Linked DNA regions of Pelodiscus sinensis. The protein of the gene in region 3 purifies or fractionates together with the protein of the main gene of each other region. This does not show direct contact. Links are inferred from orthologs where the notes say so. Each region holds a gene or a part of one and is shown on either strand. Other genes may lie near its edges.

Evidence for each region.
Region 1: the proteins of NCOA6 (region 3) and KMT2C purify together in Homo sapiens (co-immunoprecipitation; 7 studies listed by BioGRID and IntAct, with this or other methods). This does not show direct contact. The link is inferred for Pelodiscus sinensis from reciprocal best matches to the Homo sapiens genes NCOA6 and KMT2C.
Region 2: the proteins of NCOA6 (region 3) and PAXIP1 purify together in Homo sapiens (co-immunoprecipitation; 6 studies listed by BioGRID and IntAct, with this or other methods). This does not show direct contact. The link is inferred for Pelodiscus sinensis from reciprocal best matches to the Homo sapiens genes NCOA6 and PAXIP1.

What each region holds. Positions count from the first base shown.
Region 1 is NC_134712.1:243,701,048-243,711,491, forward strand, and holds the start of KMT2C (histone-lysine N-methyltransferase 2C), read left to right. Parts: upstream 1-5,958; 5' UTR 5,959-6,163; exon of another isoform or gene 6,164-6,259; 5' UTR 6,260-6,260; coding exon 6,261-6,427; intron 6,428-6,554; exon of another isoform or gene 6,555-6,639; intron 6,640-6,745; exon of another isoform or gene 6,746-7,109; intron 7,110-10,444. UniProt on the Homo sapiens protein: Histone methyltransferase that catalyzes methyl group transfer from S-adenosyl-L-methionine to the epsilon-amino group of 'Lys-4' of histone H3 (H3K4).
Region 2 is NC_134712.1:241,907,585-241,918,840, forward strand, and holds the start of PAXIP1 (PAX-interacting protein 1), read left to right. Parts: upstream 1-7,203; 5' UTR 7,204-7,513; coding exon 7,514-7,600; intron 7,601-11,256.
Region 3 is NC_134728.1:30,851,222-30,861,686, forward strand, and holds the start of NCOA6 (nuclear receptor coactivator 6), read left to right. Parts: upstream 1-6,135; 5' UTR 6,136-6,303; intron 6,304-6,734; exon of another isoform or gene 6,735-6,853; intron 6,854-10,465. UniProt on the Homo sapiens protein: Nuclear receptor coactivator that directly binds nuclear receptors and stimulates the transcriptional activities in a hormone-dependent fashion. Coactivates expression in an agonist- and AF2-dependent manner.

The DNA.
Region 1 (10,444 bases), on a different chromosome or scaffold from region 3:
AAAATCAAAAAGAAAAGCGCTCAGTCCTTTATTTGTGAAAGTGTGCCCTCCTTGGTCCCATCCTTCTCCACAACAGAATGAAGGTCAGAATAAACTTCAATGCTTAACATTCAAATTCTCTCTCTCTCTCACCCTCTCTCAATAGAATCGCATGCATTAGGTTCTGCCAAAGTTTTCTTTATAAAAAGAGATTATATAAACTGATAGTTTTAAGAAATGATGGGGATTGAGTTGTTTTCGCAATCTTAGTCTTTCAGGGGAACTATTCACATATATCATTAATTACATGTCTAATTAAGCATTTATAGGATTAGGGCCAGTGTTTGGAAGGAATAACATTTATACCACATTTTAATATAGAAAATCAATTAGTTCCAAATAGGAAGATTTAATTGTAAATAATTTGTGCTGTTAATATTTTAAGCATTTTAATGGAGGTAACACATGCAAACTTACAACCATGAAAGATGATGTTGTCTAAAGGAAAATTTTACCTATCATATTGATACAAATATATAGGTGTAGTCATAAAAGTATAGCTCCAGCCCTGCCCCATTTCCTCTGGCCATGAAAATACATTTATTCTGGTGGTTTTTTTAATTATCTTAACTCTCCCACCTACCTCTCTCCCAAAAAAGGCCACTCTTCTACATGGAGTTATTTGTATAACTTTTGTTTTACATTCACACTTTAGTTTATACCAAAAATCTTTCCTGTGTGGACAAAATCTAAAATTCCTAAGGCCTTGTTTAGACTAAGGTATAAAGGGCTGATGTCAACACATGTTAAATACATTTTAAAAGCATAGTGTAGAAAAAGTACTCTGCTTTCAAAATATGCAAAACCAATTAAATGAAAATCCAGTGGGAATACAGCAGGGTCCTATGTGTCTTGGGCCAGGTATATGTTACAAAAATAGGTTGGTATAACTAACATTCCTCACAAGATTGAAAAATCCACACCCCTGCATGATGCAGTTAAACCAACCTAACCTCCAGTGTACACAGTGCCATATTGATGGGAAGGCTTTTCCCAGCACTATTACCTATTGTGGAGGTGAAGTACCTATGCTGATGAGAAAAGCACTAATACCACTGGTCCACTGCAGTGTTTTCAATGCAGACCTGCCCTTGTTGGGTAAAAAGGTGTGTTTCCATCATCTTATCTCAACTGTGTGAGCTTAACATGAATGAAAAACACTCAGCACTAATTAAGATGTATGTTAGCTGGCCAAGCTCTGGTAGGCTTTCATGTGATCAGTTTTGCAACTGTCAAAGGCATAGTATTTTCCCTACAGGACAATTTTAAATTGTTATTCTGCCTTAAATCCTAGTGTAGGCAATGCCATTGTGACTATTTTTTTCTGAGAGTCATGCAGACACCTGTCCTGAAGAAACCAAAATTAAACCTTAACTCGTTTTATATTGAAAAGCTTCAGAGGGGTAGCCGAGTTAGTCTGTAACTGGAAAAACTTAAAAAACAACGAATAGTCTTGCAGCACCTTAAAGACTAACAAAACAAGTAGCTGGTATCATGAGCTTTCATAGGCACAACTCACTTCTTCATTTTATATTCGTTAGTGAACCATTATTAGATTGATCTGGATTTGAACTAGTAACATGAAGGAGAAAGTGTCTGTGTCCCACTACCAGCAACTTGAGTCATTTTATTCCTTGTTATTTTTGTTGCACAATACTGTTTCTAATGCTATAATAACCCTATAGTATTTACATACTAGTTCTTATTTGTCTTTAATGGTTTCCATAACAAGATCCCATCTTCCTTTCACTCCTGTTTTGGCAGATCTGTGGGCATTAGAATTTTACTCCTAGTTTGTCATTAAGCACATCAAAACAACTTTATATGTGTAAGTCAAAAACTGGAAATGTGCCTCATTTAAATATTCTTGCAGGTGCTCTCAGTTATAGGTTGAAACCAATTCTGCAGGCACTTGAAAACACTTACTTTGAGGGGGCTTGGGAGTTTATAACTTCAGTTGGCATTTTCAAAGGACTCTGACTTGATTGGCACAAATTATTATTAGTAATTATTATTAGTAGTAGTTCTATTTAGTTAAATACAAATGAAAAGCCTTCTTAACATCCATTAAAATGCAGAGTGCTGCTTAGTGTAAGGCTTGGGACATGTCTATAGTTGAAGGTTTTTTCAGTATGGCTGTGTCTAGACTGGCCAGTTTTTCCGGAAAATCAGCCGCTTTTCCGGAAAAACGTGCTGTCTACACTGGTCGCTTGAATTTCCGCAAAAGCACTGACTTCCTACTGTAAGAAATCAGTGCTTTTTGCGGAAATACTATGCTGCTCCCGTTCGGGCAAAAGTCCCTTTTGCCAAAACTTTTGCGCAAAAGAGCCAGTGTAGACAGCTGAGATTTGTTTTCTGCAAATGGTGATTGGGGCTTTTTTGCGCAAAAGCGCGTCTAGATTGGCCACGGATGCTTTTCTGCAAAAAGTGCTTTTGCAGAAAAGCGTCCGTGCCAATCTAGACATGCTTTTCCGAAAATGCTTTTAACGGAAAACTTTTCCGTTAAAAGCATTTCCGGAAAATCATGCCGGTCTAGACGTAGCCATATTATAGGTATACCAGTACACTATACTGGTAGACTATGTCTACACTACGAGTTTTTGCAGCAAAAAATATGTTAATGAGGTACTCATTTGCATAAATCACAATCTCATTTGCATATTTTCTGCCAATCCGATTTGGGAGGGGAGGGGTTGCACAAAAACAAGCAGTGTGGACGTTTCCTTTTTGCGCAACCCCTTTTCCTGCCAGATCCTTATGTCCCCAAGAAGGAGGCTTACTGATCTGGCAGGAAAAGGAATTTTTGTGCAAAAAACCCCGTCCACGCTGCTTGTTTTTGTGCAAAAAAAGGCTTGCATAAATTATGCAAATGAGCTGCAACTATATGCTAACCCACATCTCATTTGCATACTCACTGCCAGCAAAATCGGCAGTGTAGACATAGCCGTAACGTGCTATGCAGCTTATACCAGCAAAACTGCATTTTTTCCTGTATATATGTTCTAGTCCCCCATAATGAAATAAGTTTTACTGGCAAAAGCCCAGTTTTGCTGGAATAGCTAGGTCTACAATAGAGGATTTTGCTGGCATAGCTATGTTGATCATAAATCATGCCCATCTCATCCCTGACAGACACAGTTATCCTGACAAAAAGTTTATAGTATAGACCTGGTCTTCATATAAAATCCTCATGATGACAAGACACTTGAATTGTAAGTCTGTTGGAGTAAACAACTATTTTTGGTTCCGTGTTTATACAGTGCCTTGCACAGTGAAATCCTGGTCTATGACTGGTGCCCTTAAGTGCTATCATAATACAAATACAAAGTTCTAGTAATAGGAGTTTTTACCTCACTGTTGCTAGTTGTGGTAAACCCTGGGCATTATGGTGGTGACCTCAATTAGCTTCATTGAGGTAACCTGAGTGCTTTGTCTCCCCTAGCATCTTGCACTATCTCAATGTGAAAAACAATATCTTTTATTTTTGCAAAATTTCTGAAGGTGGCTAGCAGGAATTTTTTAGGGAAGGGGGGAGATGAGGACTTTTTTCCTTTTGTTCTTCATCCGGTCTTTTACGCAGACACTGGTGACAGATCTAGCTTTATCTGCTCCTACTTTGTTAGTGGTCAAGTTGTGTGTAATGGCAGGCTCTCAGGAAATCATGGGTACAGCGTGGGTGGGAAAAGACAACAAATCAGCCAGTGCATGTACACATTTCAAAATGCTAGCTATACTCCTGTTGTGCCTAGTGTAACAAGCCCATTCTTCTCAATCAGTAGGGGCCCACAAGTAAAATAAAAACCTAAAATAAGGACCACCACATAATGCAGGACTTTACAAGTTGTATTTGAGGTTATTAATTTGGGGTCTTTTGTGAGGCTGAGCACCAAAATTTCTGGTTTCCTCAGCAAAGTTTTTAAACATGCACACAAAATATTTGAGTCACATATATATACACACTCAAACACTGTAGGATTTTCTTTACCATACATAACATCGGTTTCATAATTCAGCATTTGTGATGTGAATAATTTACTTTCACAAAGGAGAAACAGCACCAGGCTTGCCGGGGAGAAAAGTAAAGGTCACTGTGAAAGAAGAGAGACTGACCATCCCTCAGAGTGGACAGTTAAGGGTTTGCTGTGGTCTTGAAATATTCTAGCAAGCTGCTGAGGAGTTGGCAACAGGGGAGAGGGCTGTGTCAATGAATGAGGGACAGCGGCACCATCTCCAGAACAGAAACACATTCACCAAAGTCCTTCCTGGCAAAGAGGGGCAGATTTAACACTGCAAAACTGACTCTCTAGGCAGAGAGGTGGGGGGAAGCAGGCGTCTCCTGCCCTCCTCCCAGTCTCCCTACCAGGGCTGCGCGTTTGGGGCGGATCCGGGATGAAAGTCCAGATGTGCGCTGCGCCGCTGGGGTAAATAAGGCAGCTAACCGGCCCGTCCTGCTCAGGTATCAAGCCCCAACGCCCATACATGCGGCATGACGGCATCTCCCCAGGGCGGCTTCCTCGCCCTATGCCCGGACATTAGGGCACCAAGCCGCGGATCTCCTTGGAGCGACTCCAGCGGGCTGCGGGACGCATTAAATCCCGTGTAATAATGAGTCTTAACCCCCGCGCTGAGCCCCAGTGAATCCGGGCGGGCAGGCAGCCAGCTAGGCCCTGCCCCGGGGGGGAGGGGGGAAGCGAGGAGTGAGATTAGCACAAACACCCCCCCCCCCGCCTCCCTCAAGCAGCCGCAGCTGTTACAGCCGGAGTTGGCTGGAAACCTTCCACGCTGCCCAGACTTTGTCTCAGAGGGCCAAGCCCTGCTCGCTCCTGTGATGCGAGCTAAGCTCCTAGGCCCTCCTCCCCTCCAGCACTGCTGCGCCTCAGAACATGCCAAAGAGACTCCCGGGGCCCTGCACACTGCGTGCACACAGCCTGACTCAGAGCAAAGCTGCCACATACACACGGGGCGCAGAGGTTGCACAAGGAACAATCGCCATTGGGCTCCGTAGGTGTGTACTAAACACTCTGCATCTGAGGGGTCAGGGTTTCCCCTGCCGACGTGTAAGGAGCACATGCGTGTGTTAACACCACACACACATGCTTATCCAGGGAAATGACAGCTGTGTGCGTTTGGGGCTACATTCTGCTCTCCACCACTCGGCTGCCAAGCTGGATTGCCTCTAATCAGTTGGCTGGCTCCGCGTCACAGGGGTGCACACGAGAGCAGCATTTGCTTCCTCCCTGGCCGGAGACCCGCTCCCTACAGGGCCGTGTTTGCTTAGCCAGGTCTGTCTACACCCAGCGCCAGCTCCCCGGGAGCCGCCCGCAGCCACGGCGGGGCTGAGCGCACTGGGTGTCGCACGCTCCGAGCCCAGTCCCGGCTCCCGGGCTCCGCACTTTCCCCGCAGCCGCCGCCAGCCCGGCAGAGACAGCGAGCCCGTGAGGTCAGCGTCGGCGGCGCGTCGCAGGGGTGTCTGTGCTGTGGGACGGTGGGCGGGCGGGCCGGGCAGGCGCAGTGTGGGGCCCGCGGGGGGAGGGGAGGAGGCCGAGCGGCTCTGTGTCTATGTGTCGCACTGACGAGGGTTACACACCAGGGCAGCCGCCGCCACCGCACCGGGCTCCCTCGCCAGCCGCAGGCCCCGCGCTTCCCCCTCCGTGTGCCCGTCCCCAAGTAAACTTCCTGCTCCCGGCCCGGCCGGGAGGGGAGCGGGGCCCGGCCGGACTCTGCCCCCGGCACACACAACAGCTGGAGCTGTCAAAACTTCCTCTCTGCCTCGGCCCCTGCCGCCGCCTGCTCCTCCTCCGCCCCGGGGGCGCCGCCAGGGGGAGGGCGCCGCGTACAATGAAGCGGCGGCCACCGCAGCAGCCGGGCAGCGCAGGAGCCGGAGCAGCCGCTTGTCCCCTGGGCCTCTGAGGCGAGGCGCCCCCGCCGCGGGAGTGCCCGCGCGTCTCTGCCCCCTCCCCGCCCCTGGCGAGCCCGCTCCGCGGGGCGGTTATTTGTGCGCGAGCCCCTTCCTCCCCCCCCCCACACACACACTCCCCGCCTCCCCATGCCGCTCCCCCTGCTACCTGCGCTGGTCGGCGGCGGCTGAGGCCAGCGATGCGAGGCGGAGGTGGAGGAGGCGGAGGTGAGGCGGAGAGGCGCATCGGGAGCAGGAGGAGCATCGGGATCCTCATCGCCACCCTCCTCCTCATCCATGTGTCTCTCTCGTCCTGCTGACTAGGATGTCAACGGAGGACAAGAGTCTAGCCGCGGGGGTGGCGGAGCCGCCGCCGCCGCCGCAGCAGCCCCCCGAGCCCGCAGCTCCCCCCCCAGCAGCAGCCACAGACAAAAGACCTAGGGGCCGGCCTCGCAAAGATGGCGCTTCCCCTTTCCAGAGAGCCAGAAAGAAGTAAGTTCGGAGCGTGTGGGAGAGGCAGCGGGGCAGGGGGCAGGCAGAGCTGTCAGCACAGGCTCGCTCCTCAGCGCCCCCTCCCTTCTGCCCAGTGCCATTTTGGGAGGGTCCCTTCCCCCCTCACCTCTTTCTTCTTTCTTTTCCTCCTCTGCCCGTGGCACTCTCCCCTCCTCCCCCACTGCTCTCTCCCTTTTCACCTTTGGCCTCCTTCTTCTCTCCCTCCCTCTCACTTTTCTCTCCCTTTCCTCCTCCCACCCGCTCTCTCCCCTTTTCCCTGGCATGGCCCCTTCCTCAGTCCTTCCCTCCCTTTTGCACCTTTCCTCTGCCCTTCTTGGGATCTCTCTCCTCCTCCAGGGCTCTCGCTTGCCCTCTGTGTCCCTTGCTGTGTTCTGGGGGAGGGGGAGTAAAGAAAAGCTTGATCTAGCCCTAACTGGATGACTCTACAAACCTCTGTCTACGTAGACACACACGCAAAGTTTAGACAACAATTCCCTGCAGCCAACCCAGCCGCGGAGTGTGTTTGAAAGTAGAAGCTGCCTTTTTCCTGGAGCTGTCAAACAGCCTCAGACGGGTTGGGGATGGCCCGGCTAGGGAAGCGAGGAAGGGAGCAGGCACAACAGGGGGTGGCTGGGAAGATTGTGGTGTTTTGCGTTGTCGTTTGCTGTCGCCGGCTAGCTTCCTTCTCTGGTCCCCGCTCTCCGCACGCTTCAGGCGGAACTGAATGTGCTCCGTTCACTTTTAGCGAAGTTAGGCAGGCTGCCACTTGCAGCTGCGTCAACTATCAACAGCGCATCTCAGACAAACCGAGGGAGCGCTGGAGTGATCTGCAGCGTCCAGATGTGGTGCAGGTGGACTATGTTTGGTTTTAAATAGAAGGTCCCTTTTATAATTTGCTTGCTGTGCTTTAGTGTGAGGTTTAGGAATGCCTTTTATCTAATTTCCATATCCCGTGTGCAGTTAGTAACAAACTCTCTGACAGTCAACGAGAACCCCGATAACTTTGTGTTCATTTTCAGGAGGACAGTATGCTTTACATAACACAATTTCAGGGAATATTACAAAATATTTTTCTTTAGTGAAAATGTGTAATAACATTGAATGTTATTATCACACATAAACTAATGTTTTAATAGACATACCACAGTTTATATATAAATTGGTACATGCATGTGGGTAAGGTAATACAGACTGAACCTCTCTAGTCCAGTATCCTCAGGATTTGACTGGTGCCAAACTAGAGAATTTGCTGAACCACAGGAGGGTGGTATTGTCCAGCAGCATTACCAACACTTCCCCTGCTTACTGGGCTGTTAGAAGACATTTTGGGGTAAATTAGGGCTAAATAACAGCACAGAACACTGAAAGGCAGGACTGGTTTGTGGGTGTGGCCAAGTTTTCTGTAGTCCCTGTAAACAAACTTTATGGGACTGCAGAAAACTTGGCCACAACCATGATAAATGAACATCCAGCTAACTAAAATCATGCCGGACTAGGGATGTAAAATCCCAGTTAATCAGTTAACTGGTTAAACATTGAGTTAACCTAATGTTTAACTATGTAACCAACTAAAGCAGGATCTGGCCTGGGCACTACTTCAGCCTGGCTGGAGCAGCCCTCAGCCCGTGGGGTTCCCAGTCTCTTGCTGGGGTTGGTAGCTGGCTCCAGCCATGCACTGGGGCTTGTGCTGCCGCTGGCTCCCAATTCCCAGCTTCCACGCTGGGTCTGGGACTGGCTCTGCCAGCTCCCAGCTGCCACCTCCATGCTGCTGCCAGAGCAGTCCCTGTCCACGGTGGGCCCAGGCTTGCCATGGACAGAGGCTGCTCTGAATGTGATAACAGCCACTGGCCGTGGAGCACCTGAACCCGCTGTGGACAGGGGCAATTCCTGTCTCTGGCGGGCCCCCCTGTGAGGCTGGAGCAGCCCCCTGCCTGTGGCAGAGGGGGAGCTGTTCCAGTGCCCCCCGGTTGCCGGCTATCCTCAACCGGTAAGCATGGCCCGTTAACCAGTTAATCTTTCACACCCTTATGCCGGACTACAGATGTTGCCAGATCAGAGAATGCTGGACTAGAGAGGTTCAACCTATATCTTTGTTTGGATCAATTTCTATCTCCCTGTATTGTGAAGCAGAAGTCCAAAAGGCCTCTTGCTGGTAGCCACAGAAAGTGCTACTTATAAACCAACTGTACTCAGTTTTGGTTGTTAGTGAGAGAGTATGTCCTAGGATAAAAATAGAATAAACCTGTTTGCTACCATTTTAATTATGTTTGTTAGAAATGTAAGCCTTAATGTTTTAGTATTTTTTTTAAAGGGTCATGGTCAACTTGACATCTAGGCAATTTAAAACAAAAATGTTTTGTTAAAGCTAGATCATTTCTCCTGAGTCTCCCAGTCAGTTTTTGTAGTTTATAATGAAAGACCTTACACAAACAACAGTGGAAACTAACTGTACAAGGAAAACTGTGAAACCAACTATATACAAAGTGCTGTTAAGAGTATAAAATAAACTGAACACATAGAAGAAAATATGTTAATTTAATAATTCAGGTGGATTGATCTTCCATGTTACTTGTAATGATTAAACAATTTTTTTAGATAAAAGTCTGATTAGTTCCCTCCCCCCCCCGTTTTTGACAGTTCATGTTAAAGGCTTTCTAACATTGACTGTCTGATTTTATTGTGGTTGTGTCTTCTAGTAGCATTTAATTCACAATCCTATCTCTCTTAAATCTTTGCATTTTGTTAAAATAATGGATTTTTTCCATAGTGGAAGTTTAAAGTGATTTCAACAGTTCTCGCTGATGTTTTTTATGTGCCTTTCAAGCATAGAGGCCAGAAGGAAGGATTATAATAATCTAGTCAGACCTCCTGCACATTGCAGGCCACAGAATTTCACCCACTCCTTTCATATAGACCCCCCTAACCTCTGGCAGAATTATTGAAGTCTGCAAATCATGATTTAAAGCTAAGGTCCAGAGCTGTATGCAGCCCCCAGCTTGTCTGGATCTGGTCCTTGAGACTCAGTGGCCCCTCCAGCATTGCGGAGCATGTGCTAGTGCTCCAGCTCACCCTTCCTCCCACCGCGGGGCTGAAGCTCACTAAATCAACTAGACTGGGTCCCCGTAGGCTCTTGTGTGCGAGGGGATTGCGGACAGTGTCTTTCTCCTTCTGAATCGGGGCCCATGTCAATACACGTATTTTTGCTTCTCACTTATGTGTGGCCCCCAACAGATTTTTCTGTGGGTCAGTGGCCCCAACCCAAAAAAGGTTCCCCACTCCGATTTAAAGAGTTCAATCCTTGCATTCAATATTGATCCCTCTGCTTTACCCTTAGATGTAAATACATTATCCTGTTTTATTTGTATATGTAACATCTAGTTACATAGAAAGCATTTGAGCTACTTTTACAAAAGTATTTTTATAGTGAAACTCTGAATGCTGCCTATTTATGATTCTGTAGCTACATAATATTAAAAATTAACAAAATTAATTTAATCACTTTTAAAATACTGCCGTTTGTGGAAAAGGCAGTTTCTTCCATGCCAGTTTAAGATAATCTGTATACTTTGTGAAAAGTGTATTTTCTTTTTCAATTATATTTCTAGTGTTAAAGGGACACAGTCAGTTTCAAGGAGAAATCTAGATTATTTTTATTTAAGAAGTCTAAAACTATAAATACTTATATGACGTCTAAAATCTGTGTCAATGCATGAGAGCCAGAAAATGAAAGTAGCTAGAGACAAAAATGAAACTGGTTTTCATTAGCTTTATGTACTTCACATGAATCAGGTAAATGAAATGCAAAAAGTAAACAGACAGTTCAAGTTGTTTGTTTTCCTCTGCAGTTTTAATGTTCCTGTATATGACTTGATGCTGCAAGCTGATCCTCACAGGAGGACCATGCGAATGGAAAGCTTTCATGATTGTGGCCTGAGGTGTTTCAGTAACACAAGGAACCAGCATTTCTAAAATAGGATTTTGGAGGTTGTGTTAGAGTTACCCCAATGTATCACTGAT
Region 2 (11,256 bases), on a different chromosome or scaffold from region 3:
TCATTCTAGCTATCTAGTAGTTTATCTTTTTCCATTGTACCATTCCATCAATAGAGAAACTGTAAATTATATATTGCGAAAAACTTTAATGCTCTAAGACATTGTTCTTTAAATGCACCTAACTATTGTAAAATGCATTTCTTCCTGTTGCGCAGTTTTATGGACTTTCCCCCCTTTTATTCACATTGCATTAAATATCTATACCCAAATGGAATTAAACTTCATCCTGAGATCTTTATCATAATTGGCTGGGAAAAACAGTTTGATTAAAACTGACACCTTATTAATGGGCATTAAGTGTTAGGTCTCAATGATTTAAACATGTGCAGTGCTCTGACCTTGCATAGTTAACAACTGATATTTTAAAGAGGCTGTCAGGTTGATGGGATTTTAAATATCAGGTGGATCTCTTATGCTCCTGATTTGCCTAGCTGAATAAATACAGTAGAACCTCAGAGATATGAATAGTACAGGAACAGAGGTTGTTTGTAATTCTTGGAGCCATAGCCACAGGGAGAGGGGCAACTGGGCATGGGTGTTGCTGGACAAAGGGGGGAATGTATTGAGCAGTGTGGCAGGACTAGCTGAAAGTGCAGGACTGGGGTTGAGGGCACAGGTGGGAGGAAAGTGCAGGGGTTGGGGTGAAGGGGGCACTGTACAAGGGTTGGGAGTAAAAGGGGCACAATGCAAGGTTAGTAGTAAAGAGTGAACAGGAGGGCGGAGCACGGGTTTGGGAGCCCATAGGTGTCAGGGGAAATCAGTGGTGCTATGCCCCCAAGGGTCAGGAGCATCAAAACACAAGTTCACCCAGGGTGGCATTTTCCTTAAGGCTGGCCCTGGATGAGAGAGTGCTGAAGAGACGTTGGGAGGAAGGATTCCTGTGACAAGTAGGTTTTTGGGAGGGATTTGAAGGAGATAGAGGGATCTTGATGGATGTAGTGGTAGACTGGATCAACTCTGAGAGACAGGATATAGGAAGTATAAAAACAGGAGTGAAAAATACATAGTGGGCGTAGTAAAGTGAATTGATCGGGAGAAGAATAGTGAGCAAAGGCAAGAGTTGGAAGGAATGAAAGCAGGGAACAAGATTGAAAGAGACAAGGATTTCAATTATATCTGATAAGAGGGAAAGTCAGCAAACAGATACAAGGAATGAAGTATGTGATGTAGGGAGAGCAGAGGGAGAATTTTTTGAATTTAGCAGTTATAAAGTGAGAGGAGAAGTTTCAGCAAATCAGGGTGTGGGGCAGTGTGACTAGTGAGGATAGATTTTGATGACAGTACAAGGAATAAGTGGTAGGGTTTAGAGAGTGGCTATGAAGGAAGAGGGCAAAGAAAAGTCAATTATGACAGCAAAATGGTGAGCCTGCAAGATGTGAAGAACAAGGGGAACTGTTAGTAGTGACAGAAGATAGATAGAAGAGGGGAACCAAGAAGAAAGATAAGAATTTCAGTGTGGTTGCGGGGTGATGTATTGAATGTTTCACTTACAGGGTGTTTGGAGATATAAGATTGCACAATAGGGGAGGTGTTATGGATAAAGAGACAAATTGGGCACTCAGATTTCAGAGACTACAGATGAAGTCCTGGAAGTAAGGGAGGTCACCAAGAGAAGAGTATGCAGGTTAAAATTATGGAATTGATGATAGAAACTTGAGGGATACAAACATTTGGAGAAGAGGGAAGAATGAGGATTCACTGAAGATGATGAGGGACCCATCAGGAAGGTAGAAGCACATGTGGCAGAGCACAGAAACTCATAAGTAGGTCCTCACAGATTCATGGTCCATTTTGGTCAATTTCATGGCTGTAGGATTTTAAAAATAATAATTTTCATTATTTCAGCTATTTAAATCTCAGATTTGATGAGTGTTGTAATTGTAGGGGTCCTAACCCAAAAAGGAGTTGTGGGGGAGGGAGGGTTGCAAGAATATTGTAGTAGGGGTTGCAATACTGCTACTAGTACTTCTGCACTGCTGCTATCACTGGTGTTGCCTTCAGAGCTGGACAGCTGGAGAATAGCAGTTGATGGTCAGGAGCCCAGCTCTAAAAGCAGAGCTGCTGCCAGCAGCAGCACAGAAATAAGGAAGGCATGATATGGCCTAATTTGAGAAATTCTGGTCTCCCCTCTGAAATCTGACTAGTATTGGTTAAAAGCACACAAAGGACTAGATTTCATGAGGGGAGACCAGATTTTATGGTTCATGACATGTTTTTCATGACTGTGAATTTGGTAGGGCCCTACTCATAAGTCAACATTGTAGAGAAAGCTTAAGAAGAGAGAACAGTAAACTGTGTTGATATAAGATCAAATAAATGTTTAAACTTAGCCACAAGAAGATTTGTAATGGTTTTGGTTAGAGCAATTCTAATAGAGAAGCCAAAATCTACAAACAGCAACACAACTAAAATACTTATTCTCTAATAAGATTTGTTTTAAATGATATTTAAAGGACTTTCATCATAATAGCAAATAAGCCACATGTGATTGCTAATTTTGAAGCAGTTAAAATATCACAAATATGTGAATTTTAAGAAGATGTTTCAGGAAGTTAAATCATAAATATACATTATTTGGGGGCAGTCCTGCATGCAAATAGCAATTAAACAATTTGGGGAAATAACATCAAATAAGCATATAAAACAGTAATTATTTAGAAACCAACTCTGCCTCAATTAAATTGAGTAGTAGCTTATTCAGAGAATATTATTCTTATTCAATGGGGCTACCCTCAGAGTAAGATATTTCTCAATGTGATGGAGGGCAGAATTGGGCCTTCAATATTTAAATAACAATTTGAAAAATTCTCCCTATTACTGTCATTTGAAATCTCTTACTTCCTTGTATGTTACCATTATGTTGTATGCTATATATTATGTCTTGTGCATATTTCATGTCTTGTATGTTGTATCCAGTATATGTTTAATAAATCAGTCACGATCTGCAATAAATCTACTGTTTTGTTTTAAATTAGCATGCATTTCATATCTCCTATATAGTCTGCTATTTTGGTTCACATATTCAATAACCTAACAAAATGTAGTGATTGAGAATAATACCAGCATTATAGCCAACTTTTCATCTAAGATTCTCAAAGCACCTGACAATCATTAGCAGCCAGATTCAGCCACCACTAACTCTCATTGAGCAGAACCTTAATTCACAAAAAGCTTTTTCAATAAAATTACTCTGAGTGAAGTTCTGTAATATCAAATGTCAGGGTAGCAGAATCTGGCCTTAAATACTTAACTGCCATAATGCCCCTGTGAGGTAGAAATTATTATTCACATTTTACAACTGCAGAAACTGAGGTCCCAGTTCAGCAAAGCACTTATAAGTTTAAAATCCCATTGACATCTAAGGCTATGTCTAGACAGCATTGATTTTCTGGATACTGTAGGTATCCCGGAAAAGCAACGCTGCGTCCAAGGAACGAATCCGCTTTTTCAGAAATTTTTTGGAAAAAGCGGATGTGCTCTTGCACCATCCCAGTAAACCTCGTACTATGAAAATAAGGGATGTGTCGAAAGAGCACTATTTTCCAAAATTTGGTACCTTGTAGACGCATCACATTTCAGAAAAGCCTCTTTCGAAAGTAACGTACCGCAAATTGCGTATCTTTTTCTAATTTACCAGTGCAGTCTAGATGTAGCCTCATACAGTTAAGAAAGTGCTGAAATGCTTTACTGAATTGGGGCATTAGGAACAGAGAGATTAACAGCAGATCAGTAGACCTGGGAAAAGAACCCAGGAGAAAACCCTGTCCCCTGAGGTGTTTATTATTGGATTGCTTGACATATGTACAACTATACACATTTTAATACTCATTAGGACATTGTCTCTAGTACCTAGACTATCACAGCAGGCCATGATTAGCCACTGAATATTAATTAGGTTCCCCTGGACAGAGGATGCTGCCTTCAGTAATGAAGAAGTCAAATATAAAATATAGGACTTGAATCTTTGTGTGCACTGGTATTTTAAAATTGAATAGAGCAATTCCAATCTCATGTTTGTAACATGAAATGCACAGAGCTGGGAGAAGGGCAATGCATGGGCTTGCTCTGAAATAGCACTGGGGATTGGAAAAGCCTGAGTAGACATGTAGATTTATGTTGGCAACACTTTTCTTTCTTAGGAGTATGAATAAAATATGCTCGAGTAACATACATTTTGCCAGCATAAGTGCTTGTGTGTACAGTGCTATGTCATTGAGAGTTGGTTCTCACTGAGCTGGTTTCATTGTGTGGATGGGAGACAGGCCATATGCAGGAATTTCTGTGTGTCGGGGGAGGGCTTTTTTTTGTAAATGTGGGCCACAAGGATGTGAATGCATCCCCTATGGTCCCCTAAGTAAGCAGGGAAATCAGCTCCAGCCTTCCCCTGGCTGGGAAGCTTAGTCAGCACGTTCGCTGCTCCTGCCTTCCCCTGGCTGTCCAGAGCATGCTTACTAAGGGACCATGAGGGGGGGGGGGAGGGGGGGGGGAGTGCTTTTGCACCCTTCGCACACACATCCCTATGGCCTGGGAGAACTCTCTCCCATGGCCAAAGTGCACACTTACAGCAGTACCATTGTATCAGGCCAAGGCAGCCACTGTGCTTTTGAATTGGGGCTAGGGTTTCCAGGTGGATTCAAAAAAAATTCCAGACACATTTGATCTCAGATGGCGGTGGGGGAGGGGGGCTGGCTAGGAGAATGGGGGGGAATCAGCTGGTGGGAAACAGGGCTGGTGGAGCGGGGTCGGGGGCAATGAGGCTGGCCAGGGGAGATCGGGGCGGGGGGGGGGGGAACCGGCTGGCGGGAAGCAGGGCTGGTCAGAGGGAGTGGGGCTGGCCGGGGGAGATTGGGTGGGGGGGGACCAGCCGACGGGAAGCGGGGCTGTCCAGGAGGGGGTCGGGGGGAGTGGGGCTGGCCGAAGGTGTGGAGTGGGGGGAGAGAATCAGCCAGCAGGGAGCAGAACTGACTCAGGCAGATGCAGATCCCGCGGTGCTACCCGTCCTGTGCACGCCCGGCGAAGCACAAGCGTGTCTGGCCCCGGGGATTCCTCATGCCCCGCCTCCCTCCCCCTTCGCATAGTTGTGTACTGCCTGTCTGGTAGACATACTCATGCAGCATGAGCGTGTCTACCAGCCAGGCAGTTTGCAACTAAGTACTGATACTTCTAATAACAAAACTTACCTAATTAGAAAATAATGGACATTTTATATGTCTGGTATTTTCTTAATTTTTTTCCCAGACAGAACCCTCAAATACCAGACTGTCCGGTTCAAAACTGTACACCTGGCAACCCTAATTGGTGATTTGGGGGTAAAGCGTGCGTGTGGGAAGCTCTGGGCTTACATAAAGGGCAGTGCCAAAGCAGCACTGCCTGTACAGCTGTGCTACGCCCCCCAGATCACTGCACCCTCATCCCCAAGCACTGCCGGGAGCGCATGGTACTTTTGAATCACCAGGCCCTAGGACAGCTGTCCCCTTTATTCCCCCATGCCTGCCTGGGTCACTGTGGGACACAGCCAAACATCTCCCCTCCCCCACTGCATGCAGCATGTGGCTGTGCTGGAGCAGCTCCCAGGCTGCCTGTGTGGGGAGGGGGGAAGGCTCGGAGGCTCCTTTCTGGAGGTGCCAAAGGTATGGGAGGGGTCTGAGGGAGGCTTGGGACAGAGAGGAGGGAAGACCTAGGGACACAGGCAGGGCCTGAGCCAGGAGAGGCTCCCTTCCTTCTTATCTGGAAGCTTCAGGGGATAGACAAGTTAGTCTGTACAAGTACAGGATAAACTTAAAAAACAACAAATGGTGTGGGTAGCACTTTATAGACTAACAAAACATGTAGATGGTATCTTGAGCTTTTGTGGGCACAGCCCACTTCTTCAGATGACTGGAGTTTTGAGTTTAGGATGTGCAGACCTAAAATAAATAGGAGAGAAGGGAGAGGGAAAGGAAGAAAAAAAGGAAGGGGGCAGGAAACAAGGAGCAGAGGGTATGAAAATATCAAAGGGAAACTCAAGTAGGCAGAACTGGTAATCTATAAGCACCCGAAGATTGGATAAAAAGCAGCAGATAAGGATCAAAGGACCGCAATTAGATAGGAAGGGTACTAACATAAGAATCTACACAAAGAGCTGTTGGCACCTTCATTGAATGTTAGTGTTTCTCAACCTTTTTTTTTTTTTTTTTTTTAATAAATTACCCCTTTTAAAAAAATTTAAGTACCCCCCTTTTTTTTAAAACAAAATTGTAAGTACCCCCAGTACCTAGTTTTGGGGGACACAATTTTTTTTCTACTATTGCAACACATTTGTTTAAACAATTTAATTGTAGCCAGGTGGGTGATGAAATTTTGGAGTGTAAAAAGTCCAAAAATAATAGAGCGCTGTAAAACTTAAAACAAAAATTCAGTTTTCTCCAGGTTTCAGTTGTGTTGACGTACCCCCTTCCCCCCCGACTTCTCTCAAGTACCCCTAAGGGTACTTGTATCACTGGTTGAGAAACACTGGAATGTTTTTGGTTGACAATGTCCCAGCCATCCAGTATCTCGATTGAGAAGGTAATCAGTAGAGGAATTGAATTTGTGGATGAATTGTAATTCCAACAACTCTCTGTGTATTTAGCTTGTAGAATTGGTCTGTGACAAGATGGCCACCTGGAGATCTCTTAAAGAGTGATTAGGTAGATTGAAGTGTTCTCCAACAGGTTTCTGTATGTTCCCTTTCCCTATATCTGATTGGGGTCAATTGAGTCTTTCCCGTAGGGACTGTCCAGTTTGTCCAATGGGGCATTGCTGGCATTTGATGGCATAGAGCAAATTACTGGTGGTGCAGTTGAATGACGCTCTGATTTGGTGGCTGATGTGGTTGGGTCCAGGGACGAATTCGCTGGTATAGACACTGGGCTGGTTGCAGGCCTGAGTTCCTGGAGGCTTATGATGTGGTTGTGCAGCATGGTGACCGGAAATCATTGGTTTCAGGTGGGGGGGGGGGGGCTTGTGAGCGGGAATGCCCCCCCCCGAGAGCGAGGGGTCATGTTCCAAGCTGGGTTGCGGATTGTGTACTCTCTGCTCCTTGTTTCCTGCCCCCCCCCATTTGTTTTGGGTGCGCCCATCCCACTCCGGCCATCTGAAGAAGTGGGCTGCGCCCACGAGAGCTCAGGATCCCGTCTCCTGCTTGTTCGTACATGGGCGGGACCAGGCACCCCCGCCCCTTTCCTGGGGGAGAGTCCATTGATCGCGGCGACAGGGGGAGCGGCAGGCTGCGCAGCGTGGTTGAACGCAGGCGCTCGGGCCTAGTTCGGTGCGAGCCCGTGCCCGGAGGCGCCGCCAGCAGAAGCCACGGCACTGGCAGCCGGGGGCGCTGATCGGGCCGTTTGGCTCAGTCTCCCCCCGGGTCCCGGCGGGGAATGGTGCCTTCCGCAGCGCGCGCCTTGCTCCCGCGGTTCGGTTGTTCGGCGGGGGGAGGGGAAGGGAGCGCCGGGCTGGCCCCAGGGAGCGCGAGCCGCGGCTCCGCACGGACGGGACCATGTCGGCGGGCGGGGAGGAACTGAAAGTGCCCGAGGAGATGTTCAAAGATGTCAAGTTCTTCGCAGTGGGAGACATCGACCCCAAGGTACCGGGTCAACCCCCCCCCCCTCCGCCCGCCGCTGGGCACTGTGGGCTCTTCCACTGCTTCCTTGCGCCGGTGACAGCTGTGGAAGCTCGCGCCGCTTTAAAGCTCGCGCCGCGCATAAGTGTGTGTGTGTGTGCGCGCGGGGTGTCTCGCGCACTCTCTGAGGGGGTTGCGGGCGAATGGGCTGCAGTCTCTGTGTTTCCCTCCGCACCCCCCGCGCCGTGGAACCGGCCGCCCCGGTGCGCAGGCCCCAGAGCAGCCTGCGCGGAGCCGCCGGGCGGGACGGCGAGTGGGAGAGCGACTTCCCCGGACAGCGGCGGCCCCCGCGGCAGGGCCCTCGGGTCCAGCCAGCCCTCCGCAGCCCCTCGCCGCCTCCTCGGGTCCAGCCTCCCCTGCCCATCCCGCTACAGACCCACGGGGGGACCCCTCGCTCCGCCTCCCGGCCCTGTGCCCAGCGCCAGCCTCGGGCACGGCCCGCTCGCTAGGGCCGAACCGCGGGCACTGGCTGCTCCCTCCTTTCCCTGCCCGGCTTCAGGGAGCAGCGCGGAGCCCCCTTTCCTGCCCTGCCCCATTCCGGGCCATGGGCACTGAGCCCCCGGTCGCCTCATCCCTGTTCGCCCAGCCCCGTGCCACAGGCACTGACTGCACTGAAAGGTCACTCGCCCGGCGCCTGAGGGTGCGGAACATGCACGTTGCCATTGTGTCCCTGGATTTATAATGACCGCACTTAAAAATGTAGGGAACCGGGCGTGTAGTCAAGTCTTTGCACAATCACTCGGCACTTCTGTGTGTGAAAAATATATTGGGAGGGGGGGACTCTTTAGGGTTTGTTATAGTTACATATGATACATGTGAAGCGTTCCTCTCTGAAAGTATTAATCAATTGCTGCGGGTGATTAAAATCATTTTCTGTACCTTTTAAAGGAAATTAGAACATTCTCGCAGTCTAACTTCTTCACAAAGTTTTGACTGTCAGTAAGTAGCACACAAGGCCCCAATCAGACATTCTAAGAAATCCCTAACAATCCAGGATTTGAAAAAAAATCCCCAACCCAGCACTAGAAGTGCTAACTGCAGGGAATCTTGTGGAGGATGGAGGGTGAGGGAGTGTGATTTGTCAGGTTGTAAGGTCACTTTCATTTAATGACCAAATAAAAAGTGACTGAGTTTTCAGAGACCATTTACTTAGATTTGTTCTGGTTTTATATTTAATCTTAGCCAAAAGGCTGAGAAGCGATATAATACTATTAAACACAAAGAAGTGTTTTTATTATTTAGTAAAGTAAAAGCACTCAAAAGATAGGAAATGCCAGAATTAATATGACCTGTGCAACTTTAATTCAGCCCCCTGTGCATATTCATTATGAAAAGTGTTTAATTATATGATCACATATTATTTTCCCCATAAGACTCCAACCTCATTCCTTCCAAATATGGATGCTGCTTATTTAATGAGCAGCAGTTCAGTATTTTGCTTTATTCTTATTGTTCATTGTGTGGGGCCCCTTACCTTATATATTGCACACTATTCAGACTCTGCTGTGGAGTCAGAATTATTATTTTTCTTAAGGGTATTTCTATGGCGCCCCTCACTATTGTATTAAAGTGCTTCACAAACCGATACTACTTAAATCTTTTCAACACTGCTGTGAAGTGAGAGGTGGTATTATCCCCATTTCACAAATGGAATCTTAATTTTGGCTTTTTCTAATGTTTGTGCTTCACTTTGCAATCTTAATGGTATTTTAACATACCTTTTTATGTGTAACTCTGGATTTTTAAAACAAACTGAAAAATAGAAATTCCAACATGTGGCATCAGGATAACAGATAAGCCTTAATGGGTGAGGCTTATCTGTTATGGTTAACCAGTGGGGGCCCACTCCAGGCCAGCTGAGACAGGCAAGCTGTCCCCCTCACCCCATTTAATCAGTTAATGGGTTAAGCATAATGTTTCAATGGTTAACTAATTAAATGGAATTTTACACCCCTAATTTTGACACCCACAGTGGTCATCAGTAGGGTTGGAACCTTTACATCCATTGTACAGATCTCTGCTGTTGTTGGCACAGACCTCTGTTGTGGAATAACTAATAGTAGAGATGTTAAAATTAGATTAATTAATAATTGAATAGTCGATAGAATTTCCATTGACTATTCAATTAGTTAAGGGTGCGTCTGTTTTAAAATTAGCAACAGCTGGGTGGCTCTTGCTATCATTTCAAAGTGCCAGGCGGTGTTCTGCCTTTGAAATGCGGCATGGAGCCTGGAGCCAGTGGGAAGTCTTCTGCTGGCCCCAGGCTCCATGCGGCAATTCAGCTTTTGAAGCTGGCCCCAGGCTACATGCTGCGTTTCAGTCTTTGAAATGCACCATAGCCCCTACTGGGGCTCTTGTACATTTTAAAGATGGAATGCCACCGCTCTGCCCCTTCCCCTTCCCACGAAGCTGGAGCTGTGGGGAACTGGCTTTTAAGCAGGCTCCTCCCAGCACCCCATCTCTCTCACCTTGCTGCCTCTTTCTAATAGAGACAGCAAGGCCTGGAGCGGAGTGGAGCAGAGCGGAGCGGGGCGGGGGCGGAGGGAGGGACTAGTCAGTTAGTTGCTTACATCCCTAACTAATAGCAGGAGCAGTTTAACATCCCCTGTGTGTATTAACACCTTTGCCAGTGGGTTTCATAGATATTTGCTGACTACAGAGGAGTGGTTAGCTTCAGCAGTCTTGGGTTCTAGTCTAGGCTGTGGAAGCTAATTACCCTACTAGGCACAGACTCTTCTGGCCATTCCTGCCAAGCATGAACTCTTCTACCCTGTCCTTATTTCAGTCTTGTCTCTTTTCCCCCCCTTAAATCCTTATCCCATTCTCCTTGTCTTTTCAGTCCCAATCTCCTCTTTTCAGGATTTCACCACAGTCTTTGACGCCTACACTGGCATGATTTTGTGGAAATACTTTTAACGGAAAAGTTTTTCCGTTAAAAGTATTTCTGCAAAAGAGCGTCTAGATTGGCACGGATGCTTTTGCGCAAAAGCATCCGTGCCCAGTATAGATGCGCTTTTGCGCAAGAAAGCTCCGATGGCCATTTTAGCCATCGGGTGTCTTGCGCAAAAAATTAAGGTGCCTGTCTACACTGGCCCTCTTGCGCAAGTATTCTTGTGCAAGAGGGCTTATCCCTGAGTGGGAACATCAAAGTATTTGCACAAGAAGCACTGAATTTTTACATAAGAACGTCAGTGCTCTTGTGCAAATTCAAGCGGCCAGTGTGCACAGCTGGCAAGTTTCTTGCCAGTCTAGACACACCCTTACTGTTCCTGCACTCAGTCCGTGTTCCCCTCTTTCAGCTCATCATCTGATCTGCCTCTCTCTTCTTGTCCTAGTTTCTTTGCCCAGCCAGTCCTAGGTCTCCCTTCACATTTTAGCTCTTTGTCAAATCTGTCTCCCCATACACACTGGTCTTATTCTGTCTGCTCTCAGCTCCTTGTTTAGTCTCTACAGCCCTGTGTGGATACTAGGGATGTGAATGACTAATTGACTATCCAATAAGCAAATGCTAGTCGACTAGTCGCTTCCTTCCCCCTCCCCCCCGCGCTATCAGAAAGAGGCAGTAAGTGGGGACGGGAGGAGAGGATGCTTTAAAGCAGCAGCGCCTCATAGAGCCCGGG
Region 3 (10,465 bases):
TCCACAAAAGCACTTTTTGCGGAAAAACATCCGTGGCCAATCAAGACACGCTTTTGCACAAAAAGCCCTGATGGTCATTTTCGCGATCAGGGCTTTTTTGCAGAAAACAAATCTCAGCTGTCTACACTGGCCCTTTTGTGCAAAAGTTTTGCGCAAAAGGGACTTTTGCCCTAACAGGAGCAGCATAGTATTTCCTGCGGTAGAGCAGCTGGGGTGCTGCCGGTTGGTCCCGCAGCGCCACTCTGGGCACTACTGGACCAACCCGGCAGCACCCCAAGTGCTCTGCCCCAGGCGTCCTGATTCAGCTGCTGCTGGTCAGTTTCAGCAGCAGCTGAATCAGGACGCCTGGGGCAGAGCAGCTGGGGTGCTGCTGGGTTGCTCCAGTAGCGCCGATGAGCTGCGCTACTGGAGCAACCCAGCAGCACCCCAGCTGCTCTGCCCCAGGCGTCCCCAAGTCAGCCGCTGCTGAAACTGACCAGCAGCTGACTACAGGAAGCCCGAGGCAGAGTTGCTCTGCCCCAGGCTTCCTGGAATCAGCCGCTGATCAGTTTCAGCAGCAGCTGACTTGGGGACGCCTGGGTTTCTTAAGTTGAATCTGTATGTAAGTCAGAACTGGCGTCCAGATTCAGCCGCGGTTGAAACTGATCAGTTTCAGCAGCGGCTGACGCCCGTTCCGACTTACATACAGATTCAACTTAAGAACAAACCTACAATCCCTATCTTGTACGTAACCCGGGGACTGCCTGTACTTCAGCTTTTCCCACATCATCTATCACTAGGTTACCCCCCTCATCCAGTAAGGGCCCCACACCCTTCACAAGTCTCATTCATTGGTGTGGCTGAAACAAAAAACAGGACTATGTAGCACTTTAAAGACTAACAAGATGGTTTACTAGGTGATGAGCTTTCATGGGCCAGACCCACTTCCTCAGATCAAATAGTGGAAGAAAATAGTCACAACCATATATACCAAAGGATACAATTTAAAAAAATGAACACATATGAAAAGGACAAATCAAATTTCAGAACAGAAGGCGGATGGGGGGCTAATGATATTAGAGGTGATAATTGGGGAAGCTATCTTTGTAATGGGTAAGATAATTAATGTCTTTGTTTAAACCTAGGCGTAAAGTGTCGAATTTAAGCATGAATGTCAGTTCAGAGGATTCTCTTTCAAGTGTGGTCTTAAAAGGTCTTTGAAGCAGGATGCAGGTAATCAAGTGGTTGAGACAATGTCCTTTCTGGTTGAAATGGGAAGAAACTGTTTTTTCTTTGTGATCCTGTCTAATATCTATTTTGTGGGCATTGATCCTTTGGCGAAGTGTCTGAGACGTTTGTCCAATGTACACAGCAGACGGACACTGTCGGCACATGATAGCATAATTATATTTCTGGATGAGCAGGAATATGTGTTTTTGATCTTATAACTCTCGGCTACATTTCTATCACTCATTGGTGTGGGTGAGTAGTGCTTTTAATGTGGGTTTTATTGCTAAGTCTGGCAGACTGGGAGTGAAGGGATTGGTGGTGCAGACCTCTCAGCAAAGATGGTTGGGAATCTCTCAATTTCAGGCTTCAGTGAAAGGGAAAGTGCTTCCCTTGGGAGCAGAGGATTGGGAGTTGGTGGTGTGTGTAGGGAGGGCGTTTTTGTGGGTGAATGGAGCTGGCTCTGGAGTGATGCAATCTCCATTGAAAAGAATAATAATCTTCCTTCCTGTTCCTCCCCACTGTGGGGAATTGAGGGGCCCACCCAAGTAGCTAGAAGGGAGGTCCCCCAACCCAAAGAATGTCTGATGCTGAGGAGGGGGCATCCCAGACTCTTTCAATCAGGGATGGAGTGATGAATTTCTCCTCTAGGGGTGCCAGTGGGTAGATGAGAGAGTATCTTCTACATTCACTGGGGAGGTGAGGTGTTTTCCTGTGGGGATGCCCCAAATCTCGCAGTGGGATGGGGTGAGGTTCTGCCCTGTGAACGTGAGGCTCCCAGAGGGGGTTGAAGCTGGGGGGCTCCCAGAGGGTGGGGATCAAGCTATGTCCGAAGGGCATGGGGGCTTCCAGTGGAGGGTCAAGCTGTGCCAAGGGCATGGAGGGGTCAGGCTGTGGTGAGGAGGTAGCGGGGCGGGGGGGGGAAGAGAGGTGTCAGGCTGTGTCCAAGGGCTGTGTCCGAGGGGCGGGGAGTAGCGGGGGGGGGGCAGTCAGGCTATGGTGAGTGGGTAGCGGGGGGGGGTCAGGCTGTGTCCGAGGGGCGGGGGGGTAGCGGGAGGGGGTTAGGCTGTGTCTGAGGGGGAAGTAGCGGGGGTGTCAGGCTGTGTCCGAGGGGCGGGGGGGTAGCGGGAGGGGTCAGTCTGTGTCCAAGGGGCTGGGGAGGTTGCGGGGGGGTCAGGCTGTGTCCGAGGGGGGTAGCGAGGGGGGGGTCAGTCTGTGTCCGAGGGGCGGGGGGGGGGGTCAGGCTGTGTCCGAGGGGCCGGACACAGAGTAGCAGGGGGGGCCACTCAAAAAGAAATAACAAAATGTTTTTAAAGTACATTAGAAGCAGGAAGCCTGCTAAAAAACCTGTGGGTCCCCTAGATGATCGAGCTATAAAAGGAGCAATCAAGGACGATAAAGCCATTGCGGAGAAACTAAATGATTTCTTTGCTTCAGTCTTCACGGCTGAGGACGTTGGGGAGATTCCTGAATCTGCACCGTCCTTTGTGGGTGATGAATCTGAGGAACTGTCCCAGATTGAAGTGTCATTAGAGGAGGTTTTGGAACAAATAGAAAAACTTAATGTTAACAAATCTCCGGGACCAGATGGCATTCATCCAAGGGTTCTAAAAGAACTTAAATGGGAAATTGCTGAGCTATTATCTGTGGTTTGTAACCTATCCTTTAAATCGGCTTCCGTACCTAATGACTGGAAGGTAGCCAACGTGACACCAATATTTAAAAAGGGCTCTAGAGGCGATCCTGGCAATTACAGACCAGTAAGTCTAACTTCAGTACCGGGCAAATTAGTCGAAACAATAGTAAAGAATAAAATTGTGAATCATGTAGAAGAACATAATTTGTTGGACAAAAGTCAACATGGTTTCTGTAAAGGGAAATCCTGTCTTACTAATCTGTTAGAGTTCTTTGAAGGGGTTAACAAACATGCGGACAAGGGGGATCCAGTAGATATAGTATACTTGGATTTTCAGAAAGCCTTTGACAAGCTCACTCACCAAAGGCTCTTATGTAAATTACATGGCCATGGGATAAGAGGGAAGGTCCTTTCTTGGATTGAGAACTGGCTAAAAGACAGGAAACAAAGGATAGGAATAAATGGTAAATTTTCAGATTGGAAAGGGGTAACTAGTGGTGTACCCCAAGGGTCAGTCCTGGGACCAATCCTTTTCAACTTATTCATAAATGATCTGGAGAAAGGGGTAAGCAGTGAGGTAGTAAAGTTTGCAGATGATACCAAACTGTTTAGGATAGTCAAGACAGAAGCAGACTGTGAGGGACTCCAAGAAGATCTCACCAAACTGAGTGACTGGGCAACAAAATGGCAAATGAAATTTAATGTGGATAAGTGTAAAGTAATGCACATCGGGAAAAATAACCCCAACTATACGTACAGTATGATGGGGGCTAATTTGGCTACGACAAATCAGGAAAGAGATCTTGGAGTTATCGTGGACAGTTCTCTGAAAACTTCCACACAGAGTGCAGCGGCGGTCAAAAAGGCAAATAGGAATTATTAGGAAAGGCATAGAAAATAAGACCCAGAATATCTTACTGCCCCTGTATAAAACTATGGTACGCCCACATCTTGAATACTGTGTACAGATGTGGTCTCCTCACCTCAAAAAAGATATTTTGGCCTTGGAAAGGGTTCAGAAAAGGGCAACTAAAATGATTAGGGGTTTGGAACAGGTCCCATATGAGGAGAGGTTAAAGCGACTGGGACTTTTCAGTTTAGAAAAGAGGAGACCGAGAGGGGATATGATAGAGGTCTATAAAATCATGAGTGGTGTGGAGAGGGTGAATAAAGAAAAGTTATTTATTAGTTCCCATAATAGAAGAACTAGAGGACACCAAATGAAATTAATGGGTAGCAGGTTTAAAACTAATAAAAGAAAGTTCTTCTTCACACAGCGTGTAGTCAACCTATAGAACTCCTTGCCAGAGGAGGCTGTGAAGGCTAGGACTATAGAGTTTAAAGAGAAGCTAGATAATTTCATGGAGGTTAGGTCCATAAAAGGCTATTAACCAGGGGATAAAATGGTGTCCTTGGCCTCTGTTTGTAAGAGGCTGGAGAGGGATGGCAGGAGACAAATCACTTGATCATTGTCTTCGGTCCACCCTCTCTGGGGCACCTGGTGCTGGCCACTGTCGGTAGACAGGATACTGGGCTAGATGGACCTTTGGTCTGACCCAGTACGGCCGTTCTTATGGAGGGGTAAGCGGGGGGTCAGGCTGTGTCCGAGGGGGCGGGGGAGGAGCGGGGGGGGGTCAGTCTGTGTCCGAGGGCCGGAGGGGAGTGGTGGGGGTCAGGCTGTGTCCGAGGGGCGGGGGGGGGGGCGCGGAAGGGCCAGTCTGTGTCCGGGGGGGTGCGGGGGGTGCGGGGGGGGTCAGTCTGTGTCCGGGGGGGAGCGAGGGGGTCAGTCTGTGTCTGGGGGGGAGCGGGGGGGTCAGTCTGTGTCCGGGGGGCGCGGGGGGGGGTCAGTCTGTGTCCGGGGGGCCGGGGGGTGCGGGGGGGGTCAGTCTGTGTCCGGGGGGGCGCGGGAGGGGCACGGGGGGGGTCAGGCTGTGTCCGAGGGGCGGGGGGTAGCGGGGGGGGGTCAGTCTGTGTCCGGGGGGCGCGGGGGGGGTCAGTCTGTGTCCGGGGGGGCGTGGGAGGGGCGCGGGGGGGGTCAGGCTGTGTCCGGGGGGGTAGCGGGGGGGTCAGGCTGTGTCCGAGGGGCAGGGGGTAGCGGGGGGGGTCAGTCTGTGTCCGGGGGGAGCGTGGGGGGTCAGGCTGTGTCCGGGGGCCGGGGGGGCGCGGGGGGGTCAGGCTGTGTCCGGGGGGCGGTCAGGCTGTGTCCGGGGGCCGGGGGGGCGTGGGGGGGGTCAGGCTGTGTCCGGGGGCCGCGGGAGGGTTAGGCTGTGTCCGGGGGGCGCGGGGGGGTCAGGCTGTGTCCGGGGGCCGGGGGGAGCGGGGGGGGTCAGTCTGTGTCCGGGGAGCGGGGGGGGGGTCAGGCTGTGTCCGGGGGGGTGGCGGGGGGGTCAGGCTGTGTCCGTGGGGTGGGGGGGAGCGGGGGGGGTCAGTCTGTGTCCGGGGAGCGGGGGGGGTCAGGCTGTGTCCGAGGGGCGGGGGGTAGCGGGGGGGGGGTCAGGCTGTGTCCGGGGGGGGGTGGCGGGGGGGTCAGGCTGTGTCCGAGGGGCGGGGGGTAGCGGGGGGGGGTCAGTCTGTGTCCGGGGGGCCGGGGGGGTGCGGGGGGGGTCAGTCTGTGTCCGGGGGGCGCGGGGGGGGGGTCAGTCTGTGTCCGGGGGGGTAGCGGGGGGGTGTCCGAGGGGCGGGGGGTAGCGGGGGGGGTCAGTCTGTGTCCGGGGGGCGCGAGAGGGGCGCGGGGGGGGTGTCAGTCTGTGTCCGGGGAGCGGGGGGGGGGTCAGGCTGTGTCCGAGGGGCGGGGGGTAGCGGGGGGGGGGGTCAGTCTGTGTCCGGGGCGCGGGGGGGTAGCGGGGGGGTCAGGCTGTGTCCGGGGGGCAGCGGGGGGGGGTCAGTCTGTGTCCGGGGGGCGCGAGAGGGGCGCGGGGGGGTCAGTCTGTGTCCGGGGCGCGGGGGGGTGGCGGGGGGGTCAGGCTGTGTCCGAGGGGCGGGGGGTAGCGGGGGGGGGTCAGTCTGTGTCCGGGGCGCGGGGGGATAGCGGGGGGGTCAGTCTGTGTCCGGGGCGCGAGAGGGGCGCGGGGGGGGTCAGTCTGTGTCCGGGGAGCGGGGGGGGGGTCAGGCTGTGTCCGAGGGGCGGGGGGTAGCGGGGGGGGTCAGTCTGTGTCCGGGGGGGGCGGGGGGGTCAGTGTGTGTCCGGGGAGGCGCGGGGGGGTCAGTCTGTCCCCCCGCGCACGGGGGGGGGCGCCTCTCCCCGCGCGCCCAGAGGCAGGCCCGGCGGCCTGTGGCGGCGGCGGGGGCGCGCGCGCTGCCCGGGCTCGGTCGCGCCCCCGCTCGGTCACGTGTCTGCAGGAGGCGGAGCCGCGGCCGGGCTGCTGCGGTGTCCTGGGCGCTTGGCAGGGAGCGGGCCGACCCCCCCGGTGCGACGGGCCCAGGCCGGCTCTCAGCCCGGCGCCGAGGCGGCGGCTGCCCAGGTGAGGGCGGGGCCGGGCGGGGGGCTCGGGCCCGGCGGGGGGGGGGCGGGTCAGCGGGGCCGGCCCGGGGAGGGCAGGGGCCGGGCACGGAGCGGGCCGGGCCGGCTGGGGGCGGGGGGGGAGCGCGGCCGGCGGGGGGAGCGCGGGGGCGCCCAGGCTCCCGCGGGGGGGGCGAGGCCTGGCCTGGCGCGTGGGGGCGGGTGCCCGCCCGGGCCTGGCGGCGGCGGCTCGCGGGGCTGGGCTCTCCCTGCGCGGGGTGGGGTCCTCCGGGGGCGGGGGCCAGGTGCCTGGGGGGGGGGGCTGGCAAAGGGCCGCGGGCCCCTTTCTCCGGCTGAATGTCCCCGGGGCTCCCGTGCCACCTCCCGGGGGGGGGTCGAAAGTCCCTGCCTGGATGGCAGCCCCCCCGGCACCCCGCCCAGCAGGGCCCGCACCTTTGCTCTCACGATGCCTCCTGCAGCCAGGCGGGCCGAATAATGTTATTCAAAGAGAAACCTCTGATTTCCTTGGCTCAGTTAGTCCCATGAGCAGCTCGCCTAGGTCTGACCCAGCCCCCCGAGAGATGAAGACCTTTGTCACTTCCCAGCATTCCCTGTATGGGCTGAACATAGCTCTGGAGCTCTTGCGTGCTGCCTTGGTGAATCTTGTGCACACTGGCTTCCTCATGTCTGCACTTTGTAGTTGTGGACCCCTTAAACGGGATCCATCCCAGTTTAATAGGAGGGTATTGAATGTTGCATTGGCTAGAGGGTTCATAGTCATACTTCCATTTCAAAGAATGTAGCACTGCTAAGATGGTGTGGATTGTTCAACTCGGATCCAATGTCCTCCTTTTGGTTCTGTCATAGGCTCTGTCATGTATGGGAAACTGGAAGATCCTGTAACTATTTTATTTGATCAACTATCCTTCCTATTTCTGATTTTGAACAAATGCAGGCAGTATGTCAGAGGTTTATTTGTGTTCTCTTCCAGCCCTTTTAAAATAAATTGAGCAACTTTGTGTCCTCTTATTGTGAAGTCTGCATTATTTTTTAAAACACCAACTGTGTTAAGAGACTTGATTACAGGGAACAGTGGCTTTGATTTCATAGGGGTGTCTTGCCTGGCCAGTTGTGCTACCTTTTCTGGTTTTGAGAGTAAACTGCAAAATGTAAATTACAAGAATGCTGTAGAAGTTAAGCCAAGATGACAGGGTTAATTTTAGTCCTGTGAGCCTTGTCTGGATTTTAAAATTGTGTATTGCACACACACAACCCACTTCCCACCTTAGTTAAGCTGCAACTTAAAGTTTAAAGGGACAGTCTTATCTGAGCTTCAGTTATAGAAATAACTCCATCTGTTATCATAATGCTATTAAACCCTCATGAGTATTTTTCATTGTATCTTTACAGAGGTGATATTTCAAAGGGATTCAGGACCCAAGCATCATTCTTCATCCTTCACTGATGGGGAAAATAACGAAAGGTCCTGCATAGGGATTTAATAGTGTAGTCGATTAACCAGTTAAACGCTTATAGGTTAATGCTACAGACTTCACACGTTTCCCTTCCCCCACCCTTGCCAGTAATTTTTTTAGCAGGCTGGCCAGCAGGCTGGCTCAGTTCTGGCTCACACCAGGTCCAGGAGCTCAGACCCTCCCTTAAACAGGGGCTGCTTCACCCTGCACTGTTGCCTCTTTATCAGAGGCAGCAGCACTGGGCGACAAGCAGCCGGTCTACAAGGGGAGCTGATTTTTAAACTGGCTCCCCTCATGGACCAGTTCCTGCCCGCACTGCTGCCTCTGATACAGTGGCTGCTGGAACCACCTCTGGGTACTATAGAATAGTTGACTAACCGATAAAAATTCATAAGGTTACTTGACTATTCAATTAACCAATATTTAACATCCCTAGTCCTTCAGCACCTTAGAGACTCGCAAAAAATATATAGGTAGTATCATGAGCTTTCATGGGCACGACCCACTTCTTCAGATAAATGGGCCACAAAGAGTGAAATGATCAAAAGTGTCCTCTATTTATGCAAACAACAAATTTTGGTTGGTCAAATTTAACCACATATGGTCTATTTCTTCATTGTTTTTGTTCACCTGTGGTGGTGAGCACTTTGTGGTCCCATGGATTTCATGTGGAGTTGTGTGTGTTAATATCTCAGGAAAATAGTAGATGTTTCAAATTAGGCATCCAAAATCAGTGGTTGCTTTTAATCTTTTTGGGCTAGTTGTCTACAGTTACACACAGCAAATTCATAGCAGAGCTGAGAATAAAACATGAATCTCATGACTACTTAGGTTACTACCTAATCAATTGAACCATACTGCTTCCTTTTAATATTAACGTAGAATGACCTGGTTTTACAATGATATTTTTTCATGATAATACTTTGATCCTACCTTTTGCTATTAAGGTCATATTTCATGATTTCTGCACCTCACTCAGGCTTCTGCTCACTGCTTCACTGTCCCCCTGGGAATTAAAAAGTGTCCCTTAGCAGATTTCAGACTTACCCAGTGGAGAGACTTGCAGTTGCTGCTCCTATGGTCAGTTATGCTTTGTCTGAAAAACTTGCTCGGTGGCAGAACTCACAGGGGAGGAACTACCTGCAATAACCTTGCTGCTTACATGATAATCATAGCGTTAAATCTGATGAGTATAGTTATTTATTCCCTTTAAAAAAAACCCCAAAATATCTTGAAAATCAGGCATTTCTAAAATTAGATTAAACTCTCAGTGGCCTTAAAAGTGTGGAACTGCAGTTACATTTCAATAAATAACCTCTGTGCTGTCCTGGATACTGTCCATGTAAGCCTTGTGAGGTAAATAAAAATCTGAGTAAGATACCGAGTTGACACCACTAAACCCTGTTAAACACATTAAAGCCAGTATATTTTGTCAATTTATCTGTGGACCTTAAAAAGTGCATAATATTAGATATCTTGTACTAGATCTACAACATTTTAGAAATGGTGTGAATCATAGTTGAGTTGTGTGGGTGTATTGGGTTCATGATGTATGTAGGGGAAGGGGACCGCACTGTTGAGGATACCAAAAGGTTAATATGGCTGTAAGATTCTGACATCTCTGGGCTGTATTGGGGAAAGTGGGATTGTACAGGTTTTTGATGTGTATCTGAAGTGCAGAAGGCAAGATTCTTTTGTTTCAGTCTTGCTCAAGAGATAATGCATTTTTAGAAGCTCACTATTAGTTATGTAGGTTGTGCTCATGGTGAATTTAATATGTAGAATGTGGACTGTAGTTCTCAACACTGAAAATGAGTCTGGTAACTTGTTATACTGTGTGTAGGCATACAGTTGTTTTGATAACCTTTCGGAAGGTAGGGGGAAGACTGGCTTGAAACATACTAGACCAGATAAGCCTGAGGTCATCATAAATTTCCAGGGGACAGCATCCTAGTGAGAAACCAATGCTGTTGCCTACAGTTATTGTCTAGATAGTAGAAGTAGACAAGCATGTGCTTTTAAAATTTTTGCTTGTCAGTAGGGCACTGACTTCTTCTTTCAAGTGGTAAACTTTCCACCCTTATTCATATCTTTGTGCTCTCCAGAGTAGCAATGCTTCTTGAAAAAGATATGTTCTGGCCAGTGCTCCTTTGTCTGTGCTAAGGATATTAAGTAACGGTTAATTTACTAGTCAAGTAGTCAATGGAAATTCCATCGACTACTGGACTTGTTGATAGGTACTGCTGCATAGGTACTTGTTGATAGGTACTGCTACCCCTACTGGGGCTCTTGTACATTTCAAAGAAGGAATGGGGAACTCCAGGTGCAGCCTGGGGCCAGCGGGAAGTCCGGCTGACTCAGGGCTGCACATGCTAGCTTTGAGATGTACAAGGGTACCTGGGCTCCATGCTGCGCTGCTGATTTGAAATGCCATGAGAAGCTGGGGTCAACTGGGGATTCCCCAGCTGATCCTGGGCTCTGCATGGCATGAACCTGGGATCATCTGGGCACACCCCAGCTGACTGCGGGTTCTGCGTGGCATCTCCCCAGAACCCAGGGTCAGCTGGGGGCTGCTGATCCTGGGTTCCGTTGAAATGCTATGCTGGAGCCTGGGATCAGTTGGGGAGGTTCCCAGCTGACCCCGGGCTCCATGCGCGGGAGCGCCGCACAGCTGATCACAAGGAGGAAGGAGAAAATTTGTTCCTCTTG